Linked DNA regions of Nothobranchius furzeri. The protein of the gene in region 1 purifies or fractionates together with the protein of each later gene. This does not show direct contact. Links are inferred from orthologs where the notes say so. Each region holds a gene or a part of one and is shown in the gene's direction. Other genes may lie near its edges. The genes, in order: pheta1 and ocrl.

What was found.
Region 2: the proteins of pheta1 (region 1) and ocrl purify together in Homo sapiens (co-immunoprecipitation; 5 studies listed by BioGRID and IntAct, counting the BioPlex papers as one, with this or other methods). This does not show direct contact. The link is inferred for Nothobranchius furzeri from reciprocal best matches to the Homo sapiens genes PHETA1 and OCRL.

What each region holds. Positions count from the first base shown.
Region 1 is NC_091757.1:53,618,425-53,623,007, reverse strand, and holds pheta1 (sesquipedalian-1), read left to right. Parts: upstream 1-1,737; 5' UTR 1,738-1,849; intron 1,850-2,213; exon of another isoform or gene 2,214-2,301; 5' UTR 2,302-2,392; intron 2,393-3,148; 5' UTR 3,149-3,176; coding exon 3,177-4,052; 3' UTR 4,053-4,258; downstream 4,259-4,583. UniProt on the Homo sapiens protein: Plays a role in endocytic trafficking. Required for receptor recycling from endosomes, both to the trans-Golgi network and the plasma membrane.
Region 2 is NC_091741.1:85,247,871-85,252,269, forward strand, and holds the start of ocrl (inositol polyphosphate 5-phosphatase OCRL), read left to right. Parts: upstream 1-1,596; 5' UTR 1,597-1,773; coding exon 1,774-1,814; intron 1,815-2,647; coding exon 2,648-2,728; intron 2,729-4,399. Other genes in the region: si:ch73-335m24.2 (protein eva-1 homolog C), read left to right, coding at 373-776. UniProt on the Homo sapiens protein: Catalyzes the hydrolysis of the 5-position phosphate of phosphatidylinositol 4,5-bisphosphate (PtdIns(4,5)P2) and phosphatidylinositol-3,4,5-bisphosphate (PtdIns(3,4,5)P3), with the greatest catalytic activity towards PtdIns(4,5)P2.

The sequences.
Region 1 (4,583 bases):
GGTTTCCTGTGTATAAAAAAAGAACTTAAAAATGCATTCAGACATTAAAAAGGCATAAAGCTCCTCACCAGGGGCTCAATCCTCACCAGTTTTAAAGACGACTAGAAAGCTGTCAGTGAATTTTTTCTTGTGGTTTACTGAACTCTTTGAAACTAATTTGTGAGAAGTAAACACTTTGCACTCCGTGTTGGCATACGTGTCTACTTGTAACACTCATTTCAACGTTGATTCCTTTATTTTGCCAGTTTGAGAAACCGCGCAATTCTCTTACAGTGTCGCAGCACCACGAACCCTGTGCCACATAGAGGAAAATATATCGACTCCAAAGCGTACTTGCAGTGTGAGCCAACTCTCCCTAAAAGAGAAAAGCTACAGTAAATGGCATCAGCGGCCACATCTGTTAGCTGAAGATTAGCGTGGTGAGATAGCAAGATGGCAGACGCTAGAGGTCATGAACTGTCTGCACGATATTCTCATTGCAGGCTCACAGCTCGGCGCCATTAAAATAAGGGGCAAGGTTACAGAGCAGCGTGGTAGGACAACGACGTAGTTGGGAGAGTTCCTAACCCAGGATCCAGAAATAATGTGATGTGAAATTAGCAAAGAAAAAAATGCATATTTTACTTTTTACTCTTGAACAAATTATATAACTAAAGAGGGCAGCTGTGTAATGCAGCTGCTTGTAGTCACATGGAATGAGCTCACTACTCATGGTAATTTTAAATGTGCAGTTTGACTGAAGTAGAAAGTGATGACTTTGAAAGAATTTAATAAACATTAATATTTGAGAAATAAAATTATATGTTTACCAAACAGATTGAGACAGATTTTACTTTACTAAATATGTGAGTTTCAGCTTAAAGAAACAGTTTCAGCCTGTTCTAAACAAATAAGCTTCTAAAAAATATTAGAGCTCAGACGACTTGATAGCAAGCAATCAAATCAGAATTTTTTTTCTTCCAGTGGTTGCGTTATGTTAACACTGCTTACAGTTAACATGTCAATAATAAATCCAGAACTGCAAACTTGTTTTAGAGCAAACTTTTAGAGCATGTACAATGTCTAAAAACATTATTTTCAGTAGATTTATATTCACGTGATGAAAAATACTTTCAATTGACCAAACTATTTATTGTACTTTCCTAGGGGGGCAATTTCATGTCACCAACAGGGTCTTTATTTAGTGTTGTTACTGACTTTCAAAGACAATATCTCCAAGCCTCATCTACCAAACTTTATTTTAAATGTTTAAATAAAAAATAAATGCAAAGAAAACATATATATATATATATATATATATATATATATATATATATATATACATATATCTGTTTTATATGGAACTATCTATTTTATATCTGAATATATGGAACTGTGAAATATGTTATGGCTAGCCTTTGCAGACAGGCTCTGTTTGCATGTATTTACCTTTTATATAACATTTAAAATAAAGCTTGGTAAATGAGGCTTGGAGATATTATATATATATATATATATATATATATATATATATATATATATATATATATATATAATGTGTACATATATATGTATACACATTTAGAGTAAATGCAGCAGCAGCTTCAACCAAATCACCAAGAGCATAGACAAGGTGCGCGTGTTTTTAGTCACCAGTTGTCCCGATAACAAGTGCGATGCCACGACGGCGATGAAGTTCAGGTCAGGGGGTTTGCGACACCGCCCACTCAAGCTAGCTGGATAACACAACGAGTGCATGCTTCTCCTAGTCACGTGACAGGAAAAAAAAAACAAAAGGGGAGATGAAGAACTCGATTAAGATCAACTTGGAGGTTGTGAAGGAGTCAGAAGGGAGTCGTTTCATCCACAGGTACACTTATTTTGTTCAAATTCTGCTTTTATAACTTGTGAGTTGAGCGTCCAGTTCCGGTTCACTCACAGCTGGTGTACATTAGAGCCCGCACGGTGGCTGAAACCACAACAGCTCGTCGGAACCACGCAGGCAGACGAGTTTTTACGGAAAGCAGCCGATCCTTCGGAGTGTTTTTTGTTTGAAATGAAACTGTTTAGTCGGCGGAGATGAGGTCTAGGAAACTGCTGATGCGTAAAATGCTTGTGACCTACTAGCAAACCGCTGGGCTGAATCATCCAGACACCATTAGCAAGCCGAGGTGGCCATAAAAGGACAACTAGATCCCCTAAATGTTAGCGTTTTCGTCAGAACCTGGAGACCTTTTCTCTTTATCTTTGTTGGTCCACTCGTGGGTGAGGGACGATGAGTGGATTTGTGTCTAACCCCGGTCAAAACGATCTTTTCTCGAGGAATGGAAGAATATGAAGAACTAGTGAGTTTATTGGTCCAGATGTGATGGGAGCACTGGGGGTGGATGTCACCAGGATATGAGATGAGCATGTAAGTAAAACCAACTTATTTCATTTTAAAATATTAACGTTCACTGTAGACATTTAATCCAACTATCCTGTTTTTAACTGTAGCGGCAAATGTAGGAAAATAATATAAAATATTCTACCAGGGTTTAAAAGTATTTTTAGCCTATAATAAGTTGGATTAGTAGCTGTTTACCAAGTAGGAAGGTCTCCTTCTATTGAACGTGTGATTTGTAGTGTGGGACACAAAAACAACACTCTTTGATTTGGTTAGAGTATTCTGTGTACAGCATGGACGTAATTTTGGAGGGGGACGGGGGGGGACATGTCCCCCCCACTTTTTCCGAAGTCAAGTTTTGACCCCTGCACTTTTTACCATCCAAAAACAATATTACTTTATATTAAATTGACACTGGTTGAGCTCTAGGACCAAGCAGAAAACAACCGTTTGTGTTGAAGCCTGTTTCCCATTAGAGCATACTGTAAAGATACCCCCCCCCCGCGTGTTCCCCCAACTTCTAAAGTGAAAATTACGTCCATGGTGTACAGTTCTGTGTTAAAACAGAAGTATAAACACAGCTAGGATGAGATGGTCAGATAGTAAAAAGTACCTACCAGGAAGTACAACACCAAACCTGTTATTATACTACACCTGATGTTGTAATCTGACCATCAAACCTTTATTTAAAAACGTCCTTAAATAAAACACTGCAGACTCACATGGCACGGACGAGAGAATCCTTAAATCCTTGGTGTGACATCATCTTTTTTTGGTTTTCAGGTAAATAAAGACTTAGCAACAGGGGAAGATGAAGCTGAATGAGCGAAGCGTGGCTCACTATGCCACCTGTGACACCCCGCCGGACAAGACTGGCTTCCTTTTCAAAAAGGGCGAGCGGAACACGGCCTATCATCGACGCTGGTTCATCCTGAAGGGCAACATGCTGTTCTACTTTGAGGAGCGCGACAGCCGGGAGCCCATCGGCGTCATCGTCCTTGAGGGATGCACGGTGGAGCTGTGCGAGTCGGCTGAGGAGTTTGCCTTTGCTGTCAAGTTTGACTGTGCAAAGGCGCGGGTGTACAAGATGGCAGCAGAGAACCAGGCTGCCATGGAGTCGTGGGTGAAGGCGCTCTCGAGGGCCAGCTTTGACTACATGAAGCTGGTGGTGAAGGAGCTGGAGAGGCAGCTGGAGGAGATCCAGGAGGCCTCTGGGATTGGAGCCCAGCAGGGTAAGCCTAAGTCTTCTAGGGGGAAACAGTCAGCACGCATCAGATCTGGAGCATCCTCCTCGTCGTCGTCGTCTTCGTCTTCCCTTTCATCAGCATCGAGTGCCCCTTCCATGACCGCTCTCTGCTCTGCCCAGAAGAACCTTCAGGATGAGGTACAGCTCATCTCTGGAATTTCCAGGGAGAACGGAGTTGCATGGAATAAACCGCCAGCTGCCTTGGTTAATGGTTTTGTTGAAGGAGCTTCATCGTGCCTGGCCTGGAAAGGCTGTGGAGACTCTGGAAATATTGTTGGCTGTGGAGCTGATGGAGTAAGGGCTCCACCAGTGCCCCCGCGGAGGTTCGGAGCGTCGCTGGAGAGCCCGGTTTCCCCTGGGACTGGCTGCTTCTCCAAACTTCACGACTGGTACGGCAAAGAGGTCGAGGAACTTCGAGCACAGTGGCTTCAGAGCCAGTAGGCCGGCGAGGACCGTTTTTCCTTAGTTCGGACCTTCCTTTCCGGTCATCCTCCAGTGCTTTCTGAGTTTCAGGAAGATGAAAGCACTTGGAGCTCTTAAGTGTTATCACTAAAACAAACATTTCTGAGGTTTTTCTTTTTCCACAGAAGATAAAAAAAAAAAATCAACACTATTCTGTCTACAATCTAAAAACAAATGCTACTCTTTCACCGTTTTGCTGCAAGACTTTTCAGGACAGAATGTGTAAAACACTACTTAGACACAATCAAATCAGTCGTTCTTATAGGAATCGCACATCTCAATTTTTTTCATTTAGTATATTTCATTTGGGGGGAAAAAAGCAATTTTCTTATATATTTTTTTAAAAAGTTGCACATGCAACCAGATCTACTTAGTTTATTGAAATTCCTAATAAAATTAAAATAACAAAAATGACCCCAGCTCAGTGATTGTAATTGAGAGAACCTAATATTTACTGCTGGAGAGGAAATGCAAATCTGCAGGAATCAGGTGGTTCAAGGTGTTTGGTGT
Region 2 (4,399 bases), on another chromosome or scaffold:
ATAATTAAGTAAACAATAAAAAATAGGTTTGTACATAATGGAAGTGCACATTTTGCGGACTGCAGTTCCTCGAATGGCCACATGGTGTGCTCTGCAGCATTCTCTGTAAACTAACCAGTGCTGCTTGAAAGAGACAGAGCCCTGAGACTGCTCATTCTGGAAGGTACTGAAACTGGCAAGAACAAATTTGTTGAGATTGATTTATGGGATGGGGATTTAGAGCAAAGAACTTCATAAACACTTTGCGTAGACCATAGGACTATTATAACTTCAAAAACTGTCAAGACCCCTTTAAAGCATTTGCATATTGTACAGGATGAAGCAGTACAAATGTTGTTTGACCAATGATAACCACATTCGTCTCTCCTTCAGTTTTCCCGGAGCGAGTAGCTCTGTACTTCGTTTCTGGCATCTGTGCTGGACTGGTGTTCCTACTCTGCCTGTTTGGAATTCGCTCCACCATAGTGAGAGATGTTAAGGATCTGGTTTCTGACCTGAATGATCAGATAAAAGCATCACGCAGAAAGAGGAAGGAGCTCATAGACAACCTCTTCGATGAAGAAGTCTCAGACACCTCCTCCTTCTGTCGCCTCACACAGTCTTACCGTACAACAGATGTTCTCAGCCCGTCAGCTCTAACAATGGAGATGGTTGATGTGCAGCAGACGAGGGATTTGCCCATTGGAGACATCTGGCCACACCTGGACTCTAGTCCTTATGCAATTCACAAAATAAAAACCTATAACAGTTGTGTGAAGCCATATCCGGTGATTTAAAAGAGCAGAATACACACAGAGAGATATTTGATTGAATGTCACCTAACTTACACCTCTCTGAATTAACTATGTTCATAATGTAAAACACACAATAACAAGGAGTCATTGTGCTCTATTCAAACTACTATTTGTTCAGATTTGATTTGAACAAGTATGGTTTTATCCACAATGACATTTATCTTCTCTGATTTAGACTTTCTTTGTGTAAAGGAATGGACAAGGCTCAGATGAACTCTATCCATTTGATTGACTTTTCTTTAAAATATTCTGTTTCATAACTGTTCATTCTGGTGTTAGTCTCAAACAACTCCACAATAATAAAACGTTTCCAAGGAAACTGACTGAAAAGTTTTTTTAATACTCTCAACTGAATCTGTTTAATATGCAAGAAAAAAATCAAATATTGTTTTTTAAATATTTGTGTCTGTCTTGGACAACGTAATTTAGATTTTTAAGCAGAAAATATAAATAATTTGCTATTAGTTTGAAGCATTTGTTTTTGCGGCATGAAGTCGCCGGGTGTCTGTTCATCCTCCAGAACACTGGGGAGCGCTAAGTACCTTCATGCGAAGGAGTGCACTAAAATTGAAGTCTGATGAAGGCGAAGAACGACTAGTCTGGGTAGCTAGCTAGGGAGCAAACCCTGGGAGTCTTCGAAGTGTAGCATATCTGTGTGCTACAAACCACCCGATAACGTTATGTTGTCCGAGGGGTTTGTCTCTTGACACCGAGAGGGACACGAGAGAAACTGAACATTCTCATGTTTCTGACAGAATGATGGAAGTTATCAGGGGTTGTTTTAACTCCTAAATTCCATTAAACGTTTGTGAGACCTTCCAGCGGCAACAATAACAACAGCTGGCTAAAGGAGCGGTTAGCCAGCTTCCCGGAAGGAGGCCGCCACAGCGCCGGGTGGAGATTTAACTTTTTTTTTGCCTCAACATCTGCTCAACGTAAAGACCCTAAAAGTGATACGTATTTATTTATCTTGGTAAGAATGGAGTCCACGCTGGGGATTTGCAACGAAGAATGCTTGGCAATATCCTTAAAGTTGTGTTTGAATTGTATACGAGTTAGCGAATGAGTTATGAACAGCTAGCCATGTAAATACAGTTGATCAGAGGGCTAATTCACTAAACCGTTGTGAGATAGCTACTTAATGTTATTATTCGGGCTGATTTAAGAAAGAATTTTCTTTTCCACAAAAGCAGTGACACATCATTTATTGTGGCGACACATTTAGTTAATACTGGATAATTTCACCCAGTTTTATTTACCTTTCTTGTTATGTATTATGATTATGTAGCATCACATTCTATTTGCGATTATCCAGTGGTTGAAGTCACAGTAACAGCTAACACTAAGAACTGCTAAACACGGAGGATATGTGTAGCTTGTATTGCTAAAATTGCTTAGATACATATATTTTTGTTCTTTGCCGCTCCTCTACTGTACTGATGGGCTCGGTCAAACCCTGAATTCTTCCTTTCACGTCTGTGGATCTAGTGATCTAAGTCTCCGTTTTTTTGTGGATTGATCTGGCCCAGGTTTCTCCTTTTACCCTGGTTATGAAAAAGCCTCCAGGCTCAGGTTTCAAATGTTGTTTGTATAAAACAACCTGGTTTAATATTTGCCCCTGTTAGATTTTTGCTGCCACTGGCACTATTCTTTCTCTCTTATTTCACGTTGTTAATGCTTGTCATTAATTTCCTTCCTGATTTTCAGTTTGCATGGCTTCATTAACATCTTTCTTCAACTGAAGACAGACTTATTCATAATGATTTTCGAACACTGTTCCGGTAGTACTGGGTAACAGCTGTAGTTGTGATATCTCATCATCCATCTCAATGATTCCTTGATTGTGCTGCTCAAACTGTAAAAGCTCAGGAGCTGAGGTCTGGCCAGAAGGAGTCCAGGTTACTGTCACTAATTGAACACAATGGAGAGTTTAAGTAAGTATCAGAAATAACAATTACTGAAAGTATGTTGACATTGGGTTGTCCCAATGTCCCAAAGCTGTGTGTTTGTTGCTGAATCGCTTAATAACACAGTAAGGTGTTTTGTTTTATTATTGCTCCTGTTTAGTTTTGACTTCATTCAAATGAAACCCAAGTTGTTGAGAGCTGTCTTTGTCAGAGGAAGCTGCAGTTGACCTGAAGTGTGTGACCTGAGCAGAATTATATGGGTATACAGGAGCTGCTTCATCAGTTAACCTTTAACAAGTTACTTTCCTGTTCCATAATCAAAAATAGAGCTCTTAACATTCAATCGAGCTGTTATCTTGTGTTTTATGAAGTTCTTAAACACACTTTGCACTAGACTGCTGTCACACTGATGGAATCTTAAAATGTGCAAATGAAAATTCAAGTTATTTTGATGTTGACCGGGATAACCAACATCGGTCTGTGTTTTCTATCCTGAATGTCAGATTTATTTGTCTTTTTGAGTTATCTCAGGCTGGTGGCTATTTTAAATCCAGGATGTTTAACTGAATGAGCATGCCCCTTTACACACACACACACACACACACACATACACACACACACACACACACACACACACACACACACACACACCACTCTTGTCACTACACAGATTAGCTCTTAGGTGTAAAATAACTGGATGCCATGTGGGCAGAACGTGGTTTCTGTGAGCTGGACAGCTCCAGGGCTTATTTGGTGAAAGGAGACTTTGTGTGTAGACAGTAGGGAGATGTTTAATCATATGTGTAGCTTGGAGTTACTTTCACCAGCAGTAACCTCACTGCAGATTATCCAGAATTCCTTCACTTCATCTTTAGCTGTAATGAGACTCACATGGGCACGCAGGCTGCAGGCTGCAAGCCCACACAAGCCACCAAAGAGTAATGTCATGAAGAGGGAAAAAACCATTATGAATGTTTCAAAATAGACATGATTTATTTTAAATGATTGAAAGATTTTGCATGACATAAGGCATTACCTGAGGTTCATACCAGTGTTCTGTGCCTTCGGTGTGTTTTTCTGTGGTATTTGCTTTTATGCACTTCTGTACATTGGCTTGGGATACAATCAGTACCAGTTTGTGGTACACAAATTATGGGATTATTGACACAATAATCTGGATAAAACAGACAAAACTGGAGGGTTTGTCACGTCAGGCTCTAAAATGTACAAATGGAGAATAAAAAAAACCATTTTGTTTCCTGTTGAATATTCTGTTGCGTTTACATCGGAAGTTCTCATCCTGACAGATTCGGGAAACTGCTTCTGACACATTTTGCCCAGCAGTCCTGAATAATTGTCCTCTCCACTATAATCAGACCAAGTGAAGGGGAAGAGTGGGCAGTGAGTGCCCAGGAAGACTCTTTGTCCTCTGCTGTTAGTCAGATGTTAGTGAGCACAGGAATGTGACCCTGCCTACATAAACCTACATCATGCTTCTGAAGCCGTTTGTGTCAACAGTTTGATAATTTAACACTTTAATCTTCTTTATATGCTCAGTGGATTTGTATTGATTAACTGAATGATGCACAGTGCTTGCTAGTTATTGTTTTTGTTGTGTGCCACTAAAGAGAGGTTTTGCATGTGTGTTTTTTCAATTTCTATTGTTCATGATAATTAAAGCACATCTTGACTCCATCT